2 linked regions of the Struthio camelus genome follow. The main gene of each other region encodes a partner of the protein of the gene in region 2 in a complex. Links are inferred from orthologs where the notes say so. Each region holds a gene or a part of one and is shown on either strand. Other genes may lie near its edges.

Evidence for each region.
Region 1: YEATS2 (region 2) and KAT14 share a complex: the UniProt entries of both Homo sapiens proteins name them as parts of the ADA2A-containing complex. The link is inferred for Struthio camelus from reciprocal best matches to the Homo sapiens genes YEATS2 and KAT14.

Annotation. Positions count from the first base shown.
Region 1 is NC_090944.1:146,949,624-146,956,481, forward strand, and holds the start of KAT14 (cysteine-rich protein 2-binding protein), read right to left. Parts: upstream 3,009-6,858; 5' UTR 1,611-3,008; intron 1,507-1,610; 5' UTR 1,093-1,506; coding exon 837-1,092; intron 1-836. UniProt on the Homo sapiens protein: Component of the ATAC complex, a complex with histone acetyltransferase activity on histones H3 and H4. May function as a scaffold for the ATAC complex to promote ATAC complex stability. Has also weak histone acetyltransferase activity toward histone H4.
Region 2 is NC_090950.1:7,910,000-7,917,217, forward strand, and holds the start of YEATS2 (YEATS domain-containing protein 2), read left to right. Parts: upstream 1-4,198; 5' UTR 4,199-4,315; intron 4,316-4,492; exon of another isoform or gene 4,493-4,650; intron 4,651-5,700; 5' UTR 5,701-5,713; coding exon 5,714-5,813; intron 5,814-7,218. UniProt on the Homo sapiens protein: Chromatin reader component of the ATAC complex, a complex with histone acetyltransferase activity on histones H3 and H4. YEATS2 specifically recognizes and binds histone H3 crotonylated at 'Lys-27' (H3K27cr).

The DNA.
Region 1 (6,858 bases), on a different chromosome or scaffold from region 2:
GCTCACTACTTCTAGCCACCAACAAACAGCAGGTAGCAATACGTAGGTTTTAGATATAATAGTAGATTCAATCATTTAGATTTTGGAAAGTAACATCTCTTCTATTTCTCAGCTAACAGCATGTATCTTATGTCAAATAGCAGGAGCGGAGAGATCAAGTGATCCAACCTGCTTCAAACGCCTCCGAAAGCTAGCTGCTACAGGCCTAACACGCCTCTGTGAAACCTACATTAAATTCACGTTCTTAGGAAATCATTAAGGTTGAGAGTTAGTCTTATGTTCCACAGATGTGACAAACTAGCCAGGAAAAATAAAGAAAAAGAAAGACAAAAAGACCACCACCTACAGAACCCTTTTCACCCATAGACCTTTATAGAAACAGTCACTGCCTTTACCTCTCTGCTGAGCGACATGCAAAGTCACTTGGCTAAAGTCCCCTAACACACTGACAACAGAACTTGAATGCGTGCTCGCATTTCCGAAGTCCTGCCCTTGCTTTCTGTTTAGCAGATCCAACAGTCCCATTTTTTTTACTGGGGAATGCCAGTTTTGGATACCCATATGGGGTTCATGGGTGTAAGCGCCTGATGCACACAAACACAACAAATGGCTTTCGGCTACTGGGCTCCATGTGATGCCAAAACAGCATTTCTTCCCAATGACAGAATAAGGCTAAATAGAGCTATTCTTTAAAATGGACAGCATGACCACCTTGCCTCATGCCTCATGAGACCAGGCGAGACCCACACACTGTATTTTGGGGGAACATAGCAACCGTAATAAAGCAAACTGGAAATGGGAAGCGCTACAAGAAATAATAAAAACAGCATCCTTACTTGCTGGTATCCACTTCTGACACTTCTCACAATAATAGGACATCTCCTCCATCCAAGATGCATCACCTTCGTCACTGTTCAGAGAGTCTCCGCTCTGATCATGCGATAAATCCACGGAGGCTTGATCCTCAGACTCGACAATCAGGAGCGTCTCCCCTTCCACCTCACCCTCCTCCAGGCCTTCGGAGGTCGACGTCCTTGTCGCTTCATCATCATGGCGACTCAGCAGCCCGCTCATGTGAACATTATTAGCCATCCTTTATCACATAAAGGAAGATGGTGCTTACTTTACAAGGAGCCCTTCCTCCTCACATTCACAAGACCATCCCCACTGCATGTGCCAGTCAAGTCTCCGCTCGTGAAAGTGCTGAAGATAGAGGCGCTATAGTTTTTTGAATTGTATTAGAATGTATGTGAAAGAAATGGTCTTTCACAGATTACCTCCGCTTACTTGTGGGCTGTCAGATAGCAAACCTGGCCAACTGCCTTCAGTCCACACTCTCAGGGGTCAGGACCGTGCCTAGGACTGCTGGGACCCTTTCTCCATTAGCGTCTTGTCTCTTTCTTCTTTGAGCTGCTTCGTCAAAGCGATCTGCTCTTCTAAAAGGCGAATATTTTGCTCTTTCTGACTCAGTCGCTCAAGGTCTCTGAGAACTCCTCTGTGCAGCCTCTGAAAATACAAGAGACAGGGTTCATCACAGCCTGCTTGATATTGAATACGACTAATCTCCACCTGGGCTCCAACCCCTCTGGCAGCGCTGTTAATCATATTACCTTTGCAAATCTTCAGTTCTCCGCTGCCTTCAGCCACAGCCACTTTGTTGTCTGAATCTAAAACTACAGTAGCTGACATCTGAGGCTGATAAGCTAATACTTGGTTTGTACTCACTTCAGATGGGTGCACTTACGACGTGGTAAAGCTACTGAGCAAAGAAGTGCTATGTATCAGTAACTCTGCCCTAAATCTTTATGGAAATTGAACGAATCTCTCCAAAACTTCTCTTCCGCTTGAAGAGAATTTTGTGGCAAATCAGAAACAATTTTGCCTTATTCTGCTTCTTTCTGCTTATATCTTACTCCTAAAAAAAACCTGGTAAGATGTTGCTAGAAGTCTGATAAAAGTCCCTAGCGTGCTTATGCCAAGCTCTTGAAATCAAGCAAGGCACTTAATTAAAAAAAATAACCTTTACCTAAAATGTTCGTTAAGAATGAAATGTGCAGAATCAATCAGCAGTTCTCAAACTGACCGGTAAGCCCCCAAAAGGGTTTGAAAAGCCCTAAGAAAATTCCAGCTAGCCTTTGTTTCCTCCTTACCCTTTCGTCTCTCTCTGCTCCTGGAAAGTTTTCTTTACTCCGGTAAGCAAGAGAAATGCTTAACCTTAATTTCTTACCAAGGGAAACGGGGAATGAAAAACAAGTGGTGGAACCAAAAGTGGTGACATGTATCAGGATGGGGAAAAGAAATGGGAGGCAGCAGACGGGAACCAGTTGCTGTGCTCCAGATGGGGACAGGTAAGACAGCAGCAGTACGTGAATGGAGAGGATGATGAGGTTAGACACAGGATGGAGAAGATGGCAAGACTGAAACTAGTTCTGGAAGAAAAGGTGACCCAAGCTGAGCATTTCATCTGCTCGAGCACTTTGTGCATGTGACAACACTTAGGCAGGGATCCTGCAGCGAACACTGCATAGACTGAACTCTGAAAGAAGTATAGAGAAGAACCGGCTTTGGTGGGCTCCAGGCACACACACAGACCCACTCCTGCAGTGCTTTTAAGACTTCGCGACCAGTCCTTTCCAGAGTCTGCCCTGCAAATTCAGAGCCTGGTCCTGAAAGCGGACCAGACTGCTTAACTGGAACTTCTACCAGTTCCTTATTATTATCTATATGAGCATCTGTGTGACAGTGGGGAGAAGAAAAAAGAAGTAAAACTGGCTACAGGCAGCTGGGATGGTGTTCCCCAGCCATTTAAACCAACCTAAGCCAGCCTTGCTCTAGTTTTTCCATTCCCGTGCTCTCCTCTGCACTCACAACAGTGCTCACCTGATCCCAGGGGTGAGCCAGCCCAGACAGATAAAACAGTAGAAAATAGCTCACTTTTTTCTTCTCCCCCTCCCCCCCCATAAAGAAGTCATACTCTGCTGACTGACCTCCCTGAACTGGCTCACCGCAAGGTAAGTGCCAGTGCAAAGGCAAACATAGCAACATGCCGACTCCCTTGCCTGTCTGTCTGTCTCGAACTCCTCGGGCAGGCGGTAGCTTTTAAATCTGTGGACGTTATACTCAATTTCAAAGCAGCAGTCATATGCTTATCAGAAGATATTGTGCACGAGGCGAGAGATATTGTAACTGAGGAGAGCAACACTCCAAACGATTGTAATAAGCCAGTAGTGGCTCACATCTAAATCAAGCCACATGAGCGCAGTCACGTTTTAGCACAACTAGAGACGGGAATCTAAGAAGTGCGATACCCCTGCCTGATTTACCAGCTGACACGCATAAATCTAAAACGTCCAGCTTGCAGTCAGCAACGAGAAAGATTCACACGTACTAAGGCTAGTCATTGGATACTGGAGTTAGGAATAAAGTATTTAGCCTAATGACGAAAAAGAGGAATAATTTATTTGATCTGTTTTACCGGTGCCAAAATGCACCTGCAAATAATTTGTTTGAAAACTGACCCTGAAGCTGTTTTAGAACATACTTGTAATTATTATTTGACAAATTCTCACGGGGTTTTCTTTTTCATCTAGAATACCAAAAAGTGTGTGTTTTTCTTCTGTTAAGATTAAAATAGGAATGCTTTGTTTAAGAAATGCTTTATCTTGTTAAAAATATACAGACACGTTTGTCAGCCAATAATCAAAACTCTCTCTGGAAATTAATCTAATAAAAGCAGTTCCTTCCCATCACCTTCAAAGCACTGAATTCAGGTTACAAATTACTAATTGCTAAAGACAAAGCTCATAAACTAAATACTTCATTAGTGCTATCTAATAACAACAAAGATGTGAAGAGATACTGTGTAACTGAACAATCAGGGCATCAGGCAGGTTAACCTTTTTCCTTCATAAAATACAGCTGTTCTGCAATCCTTCAGATGCTGAAAACGTTTCCTCCTAAAACGCACAGTTTGCAAAAGACACCTTTATAATTGTTACCTCATACATGACAAAGAGCTACAAAAAAGTTCTTCTCTCCTTTTTCTATACTCTAAGGTTAGGCCTGTTTGCTTTCTGAATCAATTTAGATAAATTTATGCAAGCTGAAATCAATCAGTTCCTGGAATATCAAATTATAAAAGCCAAAAGTCTGTTAATCTACGTAAAGATAAAACTGAAATAATCCCTACACCAGGTCTGAAGAATGTCCATGTTACTCATTTTCATTTCTTTATCTAAATAATTGGCTCCCTCAAACCTGAAGCCATTATTTCCCAACTTGAACATCAAGATCATAAAAATAAAATTTCAGATTTCATTTATAAAAGATAAGCTTTGGGCCCTATTAATACTAAGGTAAGCTTTGAGCCCTATTGATTCTGAATAGTGATTTAAAGTTTAACTGCGAGCTCAGAACGAAGAATCAAGTGATTGGGCTTTGCTGCAGCAGCAGCATCTTGAGTAATCCTAGTACTCCTGTAACAGAAACATGTAATCTGTGTCAAACTCAGCTTTTCGGGGAATCCTCCTCAATTCTAGAGAACTGTTTTGCTAACCCATCCCCCTAAGGACAGGTCAGCCACCTCTGAAGTCATACATCGGACATATATTTTGAGAGTAGAGCGGCTTCTCTGGGGGGAAAATAGTTCCCCGCATCCTCCCTTGCCCATGATATGGTAACTTTCTGGTAGCCCTGCAACCCCTTTCCCCTTCCCAGAGTTCGCAGAGGCTGTGTGAGGACGGATAGAAAATAACAGGTTGCATTTTGTGCGGAAAGGGACAAAATGCTCAGTGATCTGAAAAAAAAAAAATTGTATTTAAATTTTGGTTTAAAAAAAATGAGGACACCGGCTCTGTCACCCAGAAACTCCAAAAAGGTTTTTCCGCTGATCGGCGTTCCTTTGACCCCTCCATCTCTAGGAAACGCAGCAAAACTGTCTGTCAGCGGCTTAACAGCAGCGACGCTGATACCCTCCGCAGCAGTGACCGCTCCCAGCCACAGGGGTGAAGGCTGTCCATCCTTGTCCATAAGTTATCCGGCACTTGGAAAATGCAGGATTTCCTCAGGCAGAAGGTTGCAGAAGCGATCTCAGGTCGCCAGCAACCAAAGCTACTCAACGCTGTTGTGCAAACGAAGCAGACGTCAGCGGATTAGGAGAACCACTGCTGAACGAGGCTTTTCAAAGCTCTGAGAAGCTAGGCTGGGAAGGGAAGCTTTTTGTTCTGCTCGGAAGCCTGCTGGAGCAACTACAGCAGAGCAATGGGAACATCAGGCATAGGGCAGCAAGTCCCTATTTTCTTCCAGATAGTAAAAGAGATGCATAAACCAAGCTGGGGGCGCTAACCATACGAATTAATTTGCTGATCGACCACTGCTTTTTTCAGGGACACACTGGAAGAACGCCAAGCTTCCAAGTTAAAAGCTCAGAATCCCACACTCTGGAGTTGCTTCTGTGCCCTTAACTCACCCCCTTTTTTTTGCCCAGGAGTTACAGTCCAGTCTCTCCCATGCTGCTCTTGCCATGGGACTGCCATCTCGTTCAGTAATGGGAATGGATCCTGACCAGGTATTCAGTATTTAGTTTCACATCCCTTGTTCCTCCTGTTGCCTGAGGCATTATTTACTTTGAGATACACAGATCACGCTCTGATGGTGGTGTCACTCATTTCCTTATGGACTCTTTTATGTCCGTTACCTCCACAGTTTGTAAATATGAATTTGTTTTCAGAACCCCTCTATCAGACGAAGGAGTGATACTAATCAAGGAAAGATTAAGGTCAAAAACACCCCTTAATTTTAGATGTCTCACTAAAACATTAAGGAGAGACTTTTTTCAGAGCATTCAGTATCCTGCAGCACACCATGTGTTCAAAGTACAGCTCCCATTTATTTCAGCTGACACTCAGGAACGTTTAGTACATGTTCCTGCTAGACCCTTGGTGGCTGAAGGCATCCCATCCACCAATCACAGAATCACAGAAAGGTTGAGGCTGGAAGGGACCTCTGGAGATCATCTTGTCCCACCCCCCTGCTCAAGCAGAGTCCTCTAGAGCACGTTGCCCAGGATCGCGTCCAGGCAGGCTTTGAATATCTCCAGCAAAGGAGACTCCACCACCTCTCTGGGCAACCTGTTCCAAAGCTCTGTCACCCTCACAGTGAAGAAGTTTGTCCTCATGTTCAGATGGAACTTCCTGTGATTGTTTGTACCTGTCCTATTTGTTGCCCCTCACCCTGGGCACCATTGACGAGTCTGGCCCCATCCTCTTGACACCCTCCCTTCACATACTTGTACACGTTGATGAGATCCCCTCTCAATCTTCTCTTCTCCAGCCTGGACAGGCCCAGCTCTCGCAGCCTTTCTTCCTAGGAGAGATGCTCCAGTCCCCTCATCATCTTCGTAGCCCTCCACTGGACTCTCTCCAGGAGTACCATGTCTCTCTTGTACTGGGGAGCCCAGATCTGGACACAGTACTCTAGATGTGGCCTCCCCAGGGCTGAGGAGAGGGGCAGGATCACCTCCCTCCGCCTGCTGGCAACACTCTGCCTCATGCACCCCAGGAGACCATTGGCCTTCTTGGCCACATTGCTGGCTCATGGTCAACTTGTCCACCAGCACGCCCAGCTCCTTCTCTGCAGAGCTGCTTTCCAGCAGCTCAACCCCCAGCCTGTACTGGTGTGCATAGGATTATTCCTCCCTAGGTGCAGGACTCCGCATTTGCCTTTGTTGAACTCCAGGAGGTTCCTTTCCGCCCAACTCTCCAGCCTGTCCAGGTCCCTCGGAATGGCAGCACAGCCCTCTGGGGTATCAGCCACTCCCCCCAGTTTAGTGTTATCAGCAAACTTGCTGAGGGTGCACTC
Region 2 (7,218 bases):
CATTTTGCTAGGCTTGCTGAAATACAGGACTGTCTGGTTGCTCCTACAGTTTGCAGTTCCAGTCACAGGGAACTCAATAGGTAAAAAATATTTCACGTTTGTCAACTCGCTACTTTCAGTCTGAGAGATAAAGAAGCATATGTTGTCAAAGTTTTCTAGTGGCAATGCTCAGGAAAAGCAAACGCTCAGTTTTCGTAATTGCCCGACTGGACGAATGTATCTCGTTTTCTCTGCCACTGAAGATGGCAAAAGCCCATTCCAGAGGATTAAGAACCTCACTAGACTTGATCACTCTGAAGCAAGATGTTTTCCTCTGAATGTGGACTCTCACGCGCACAGGACAGTGTGCATTAAATGGTGTGCCGGACTAAAAAATCTGAGTAATACACACTGAAAAGGAAGTCCACAAGGTGATGAGGTTGATGAGATTTTTAAGCAGAAGTTTGTTATCTGGTTGAGGACTAGACAGTAAAGTTTTTTTTTTTTTTTAAATGTGTCCAGCAAACAAGCTTCCTTAATGTTTTATTTCAGGTGGCATTGATAAAAATCCGTCTCAGTGTCAGTGCTGTGAGCATTACCACAAAACAGTAGGCAGCCTCTTACCCACCCCACACCAGCTGTGTGAATCAGAACATAAGTTCTCGGCACACTGGCCTCGCATCAGCTGTCTTTCATAACATGCATTTATGTATAAAATTAGTGACTCAAAGTATATATCCTTGATAGTGTTATTATCCAAAAGCTCTATTTACATAACCTTTTTTCTACTGTAGTGCTCCAATCTACACTCATGTTTGCGCATCTGTGCATGTGAATAACTTTGTGATCATTTTATGCTAATTCTATTATAAATGATACACATAAAAGTCCCTATGTACAGCATGTTGATAATGTAATTACAACTTACTTTGTATTATTAGTTCCAAAGAAAATAATGTGTTAATGTTGAAAATACCTGTGCCTTGAATTCACTTATAATTTTTATCTATTGTGAAAATGAGCTTGGATTGCTCCTTCTGGTTTATCTTTATTAGGATCAGTCTTACTGTCTAGACTGCTGATGTCCTTTTAAGAGAAGTAAATCTTGCCATTCGTTAACTAAAAGAACAGTTAAACCTTTTATTGAGAATATGCCTACAATGCTTCGATTTTTTACAATGTTATGGCAGATTTACTGTGGAGAAATCAGTATTTTTTTTTCCTGTTTTCTATTTCCTGCACTCCCTCAGTGACAAAGGAGTTTGTCTTTGACTTCCTGTCCTTCATACGTAGTTTCTTGTTTTAGTCAATAGCCTCTACCACATTTCAGAACGCTCTGACTTGCCTGTCCTCAGTAGAGTTTAAAATAAATAAGATGAAGCAATAATATGGTGTAGCACGGCAATATGCAAAATCAAGAGACTTGAATAAAATGTATTATTATTAATTTCATTTGTGTAAATGCTGGACCTGTGGGGCCATTCTCCTTTCGGTGCACCTGTAGCAATTTGGAGTCAGATTAATAGGAACTACTTGGCCATGGAAAGAGAGGTTACCTACTTAACTATTATTCATATGATACTTTCCTTTCACCTGGAATATGTTTTGATTTTTCTTTTTGCTAAGGAAAACAGCGGTTCATTGTATTCCTTGCCAGTTCCTTTATTTACTGAAACGTAAAAGGTTTGGTTCGAACAAGAGCTTAATCTTGTCTTCAAGAGCAATCTGGTACAGCACAAACGAAGCTGAACAAAAAACTGCGGACCACTTAGTGTGTGCCAGACTCAATGCAATGCTATCTGACACGTAACATTAAGGTCTTCAGATTGTGCTGACAGTAGAAAAGTGATTTTGTAATGTAGCACAAAAGCAATAACATTTACTTGTTATATTTAAATATATTTCTTGCATAATTCTTTGAAAGATTTTTTTTTTTAAATCCAATGTACCTAATAAACATTTGCCTTTTGAATAGTTTACTGTGTTTTATTTAGGTCATGAGAAATGCCACGGAGGGGTTTGGTCGTACAAGGAGGAAGCTCTTTCCTGTTCTTCCTAGGTCTTTTATTTGCTGGATTCTGCACCTTTGCAGTGTCTGTATCAACCCATCATTCTTCTGTCTTCCAGTCTGGATGCTTTCATAGCTCATCTTTATGCCTTTGTCATGTAACTTACTATTGACATGAATACAGGTAGTGCAGGCAAGCTAGAGGCTGTGCGAAAAAGGAAAGAGCAAGGAAACTGGGGGAAATGACAAGATGGGATGTAAAATAGTGCTTAGTTCTGGGAATCAGGATCTGGAAAGGATACAAACGGACTCAGAGGGCAAAAGCAATAAGCGAAATCAGGATAAGGGAATGGATAATGGTAGGAAGGTGACCAGTAACACTATAGGTTGGAAAGAGACATGCAGGAAGTTTACTCTTCCCAGATTAGCTCTCCCTTGACCATCTCGAGGTGCCACTTGTAGAACGGCCGATACAGGGCTCGGACAGGGAGAGGGTGGTTCTCTTGCACTTGAACTGACATGACTGTATTTCATTCAATACCACAGTTTTACAGATCACATTCATCTTTCAGTTGTTTTCTAGTGGAATACTAGCTTGTACTCCTGGCATCCTCTTCCTCATAGGACAGTGTGGATTTCAAACTCAGAGCTTGTCCTTCACGTAACCCTAGATGTGTGTCTTGCCTTCTTCCTAAAACCCTTTGTTTTTGGCATTGTGGCAGAGTCAAACAGAGCTTCCTACTGTGATTTTTTCCCTGTGTTCCACTGAGGTCTAACTCGTGAGTCCTTTCCTTGTTTGATGTATTTTGGATTGTGGGTCCTGTATCTTTCAACATAAAACCAAAGCCCTGGGGCCTTGATATTCGATATACTCTGTATCAGAGAGATGTAGAGGAAAAAAAAAATACAAATAACTTTTTAGAAATGGTGGCAGGCACATTTTAATACAACTTAATCGACATGAAGATACTGCTTCATCTGTCTACTGGCAGAGAGGGGCCTGCTAAAGCCTTGAACTGCAGAAAATTGAAGTACTTCCACTAGCTTCAAGAGTTTTGAACCTAGCCCCACAGAGATGAGCGAATCTAAATGTACCATTGAGGCATGTAAAGATTTTTCAGATACCTTATAACATGAAACATAAAACTAACGCCAACAGTTGGACTGCAGTTTGGCAATGTAACTGGATCATTGACCGCAATCAAGGGGCTGTTACTGTGGTGCCAAGAATAAGTTATGACCGAGTGCAATGTTACTGTTCCTGAAAGAAGTAATCTCACATGAAAGGAAATTCAGACTACGATGCAATGGAAATACACTGAGGAATGGGATCCTGTCTGAATATACTTAAAATGTTAAAAATGGACCTATTTCTGTTCCTCTCTCCATTAAGCAGAGAAAAGGAAGAAAATAAATAAAAAACTAAATTATATTCCTGATGAAAATGATACAAATTTGGGTACAAGAACTATCTCAATGGATTGTATTTGTTGCCTGACAGAAAGCCTTTCTAGCAGTGGTCCTGAAACCAGAAAAGGGGGATTTTAAGGTTGGCTCCCTGCACATTGAGCACGCATACACTTGTTTACAATTTGCGGCCTCATAAGAAGTTAGAAAATACATGTAAGAGTTGGCCGTTATCTCATGCTCTTTAGCAGCATGAGTTTAGCATGAGACTACGGCGGCGGAGCGAAGGGCTGCTTGTTGTTCAGGACATCTGACAGCGGTGTTAGGATCTGGTTAAGAAAAAAAAAAAGTGACATTAAATCCATTAGTTTAGTGGGGCAACTGTAGCTGTGATTTGACACGCTGTGAAACACCATGAGCTGTAAAGGTAGGACGTTTGGGAGCGGGGGCGCAGCGAGCCCCTCGGGGGCCGCCGGCAGGCAGCCGCCTCGGGGCAAAGCCGTGCAGCGCCGCTGCGCCTCTCTTGCGCGCTTTTACTACCCGGGGCTCTCAGTCACGCCGGGCCTCACTTGGCGTGCTTTTATTATTATTATTTTCTTTTCTTCTCCTAACCACGCGCCTTTCAGTTCCTACTTTTGTGTCAAAATCTGCCTTCCCCCAGTTGTACTGCTTACTGGCCAATATAGCGGGGCCGCGCCAGTACCTCCGGCGCCTCAGGGGGAGCAGGACGGCGGAGCCTTTCCGCCCCCTTTCTCTGCGCCTCGCCCCGCCCCGCCGCCGCTCTCCGCCTGCGCGGCTCCCGCCCCTCGCGCTGACGGGCAGCGAGGGCCGGGGCCTGCGCTCATGGCGGCGGCTGGCGGCGGGCGCTGAGCGGCGCGCGGCGGGGAGCGGGGCGGCGGCGGCCGCCTCAGCGGAGCGCGGGTGAGCGGCGGCGGCGGCGGCGGGAGGGCGGGGGGGAGGGGGGGAGGAGCGCGCGGGGCGGCGGCGGCGGCGGCGCTTTGTGCGCGCGCGCGTGCGCGCCGGGCGGGTTGGGCGTGGGGGGAGGGGAACAATGCCGGCCGCGCACGTGGGCAGCGGGCGCGCGCGCGTACTGCCGCGCCCCGGCCAACGGCCCTAACGGCCGCCCCGGAGCCGCGGCCGCGCCGAGCGCCCGGCCTGAAGGGAGGGTGCCCTGGGGGGAGCCGCGAGCGCCTGCGGAGGCTCGGGCCGGGGTTGGCCGTGCGCCCCGGCGGCGGGAGCAGCGAGCCGCCGCGGAGGTGAGGAGGGCGTCGTGGGCCGCGGCCTCCCGAGTCCGCCCTGCGGCGGCGGCCGCCGTCGGCTGCGCCCGCGCCCCGGCCCGGCGCGGGGCGGTTGGCGTGCGAGGCGTCTTGCGTGGGCCACCCCTTGCCGAGGCGTGTCGGTGGCCGGCGGGACGCGTGAGCGCGGGTGGGCGACCCCCCTCCTCCCCCCTCCTCCCCCCCCCCCCCGGGCCGGGGCAGCTGTCGGGGAGAGGGGGCTCGGCCGGGCGTGGGGACGTTGTCCCGCGCGGTTCCCCCGCGGTCTAGCTGGGAGGTCACGCTTGTACGTGACCCGTGTGCTGGCGCAGCTTCGCCGGCGAGCCCCCCGCCTGTCCCGGGTAGCGTGGTGTGTTTGTGTCGCTGTGTGTGCGCGTCCCGGCTCGTTCGGGCCGTCAGCGCGCTGACTCTGACCAAGCGCTGCGTGCTGGAGGTGATGGTGCCGCCCCTGAGAAAACACCCCCGATGTACTGAAATTGGTGAGCCAAGCAAGTCTGGACATCCTCTTAAGATCCGCGTGCAGGCATCGCTGAGGATGGGGAACAGGCTGTTGTGACTTTTGCGTCAATGGACGGTGGCTAAATTGGAAGAGAAGTTGCTAATACCAACACCTGCCTTGGCGGTCTTCTCCGGTCGTACGTGCTAACCTTGCATAAAGAAACGTGCCTGCCAGGAGAGGGGCGAGGTGTGTTTGCAGAGCGGCTGTTCAGCGACAGTGAAGGTCACTTCATTTTTCTGCCTTGCCGCTCCATCTTCGCAATACCTTTCCCCACACAGGTTGTGGTGGGCTATGGAGACCAAAGATCGGGAGGCAGTGTAAACTTGTGGACTGTACATAGCGGGACTAGCTCTGAGCTTTGCAGCTGTGGATGGATCTCTAGCAGCTGGGGAAGGAGGTGTTCCAGGAGGTGTTCCCGAGGTCCAAGGCAGGCCTTCTCGCTGTGACTCCTGTCATTTCAGGAGAAAGTTTGAACTCTGTCCGGAGAGTTGCTGTGGGTAATGTCACTGCTTTTATTTTTCCTCTCGGTGCAGTAGTTGAGAGAACATGTCTGGGATCAAGAGAGTGATCGCGGAGAAGGACCCCGACTATGAGGAGATCGCAGTCACACATCCCAATAAGCGTCACAAAGCAGCTGAACAGTCAGGTAGGAACCGTCTGAGTTGCGATACTGTCATGTGTGGAATTAGAAGTGCCACGGATTCAGCAGATTCTGTGCATTTTTCTACAAACAGTTCAGAAAAGGACTTGGACGGGAGCTAAAAGGACAAAGGGCAAGGAAGCTAGCGATATCTCTGTATAGCAAAATGACGGTGTGATTGTCATAGGTGGAGCCATTCATACCTGCTAGCTGAACTGAGCTTCAGTAATGACAGCAGTAAAGCATGTGGTCGCAGACTTCAGCGCATGATAGCAACTAGAGCACAAGCCATCTGGGAGTGCCTGACCGTGTACTTTGGTTCTTGTTGCTTGCTGAAGTATTTGCAGCTGTATCTTCCCAGCTGTTTTCTGTGCTGGGTTATGCTCCTACCTCTGCATTTATTTTGCAGTTGAAACCTGCCCGTAGAAAGACTGGCAGTTAGCTTACGTTTGAGGGATGCAGCAGCTGGTAGCAGTACAGTTTGGGAGAAGAGAACCCCCTGACCCTGGGGCTAGGCTGGCTCTAGGAAAAAGCAAGACAAACAATTGCAAGAGAAAGCAGATAAAATGAAACGAAGTAATGTAGAAGGGATAAGTTAGCGAGAAGGATGGGGCTTTTAAGGGTGCAAAGGAGGAGGAGTAGCTACCTGACTGAAGGAAAGATGGACAAAGAAGCTGTGGCTGGATGAGCAGGTATGCATTTGCCACTGTCAGAAGTGCTTTGGGAACCATCCTGTTGGCTGTGTGCCTAGGTCAGGTTCGAATCTTCTCTGGGCAAGTGAGACTAGAGTCTCTTGCCCCTGGGACAGGGAGTGGGCTGAGTGATATTTGGCATAGCACAGCCAGTGGGAGAGAATCGTGAGGGGAGGAGCTGAAGAAAAGGGAGATGAGAAAAATGGAGCCTGCTGCAGGATCTGAGCAAGATCCAGGAATAGAGCAGGGTGTTGGAGCTGCCAGTTGGAGAGGGACAGATAATGGTTTCACAGGTGGTGTTCTGGAGGACAGTGTACAGCTGGGCGAGTCTGAGGAGACTGAACTTCAGTTTGAATATGCTGCTGGGCAGGTCTTGTCTGCCAGGTTAAGGTCAATTAAGGGCGCTGACGGCAGAGCCCTGTTGGAGCTAGCTATGGCAAAACAGCGTTAGCGCTCCCAGCTGTCTGCCCTGCCTGTCTGCCAGAAGTTGCCACCCTCTGTGGTGTTGAATCCAAGTGACTGCAGACAGATTTTTATCCTGCTTCTGAAGCAACTCCTCAGAAGATCTTAATAGGTAGCAGGCCAAGTCTCAGGGCTCTTGGAGAGCTGTCCTTCCCAAAGTGAACTTCTTGCTGAGGTGATTCTTCCATATTGAGTTCTTCTTCTCGTGGAAGATCTCCAGTTTTCAATACAAGAATTCCGTAAGTATGCAAATTTCA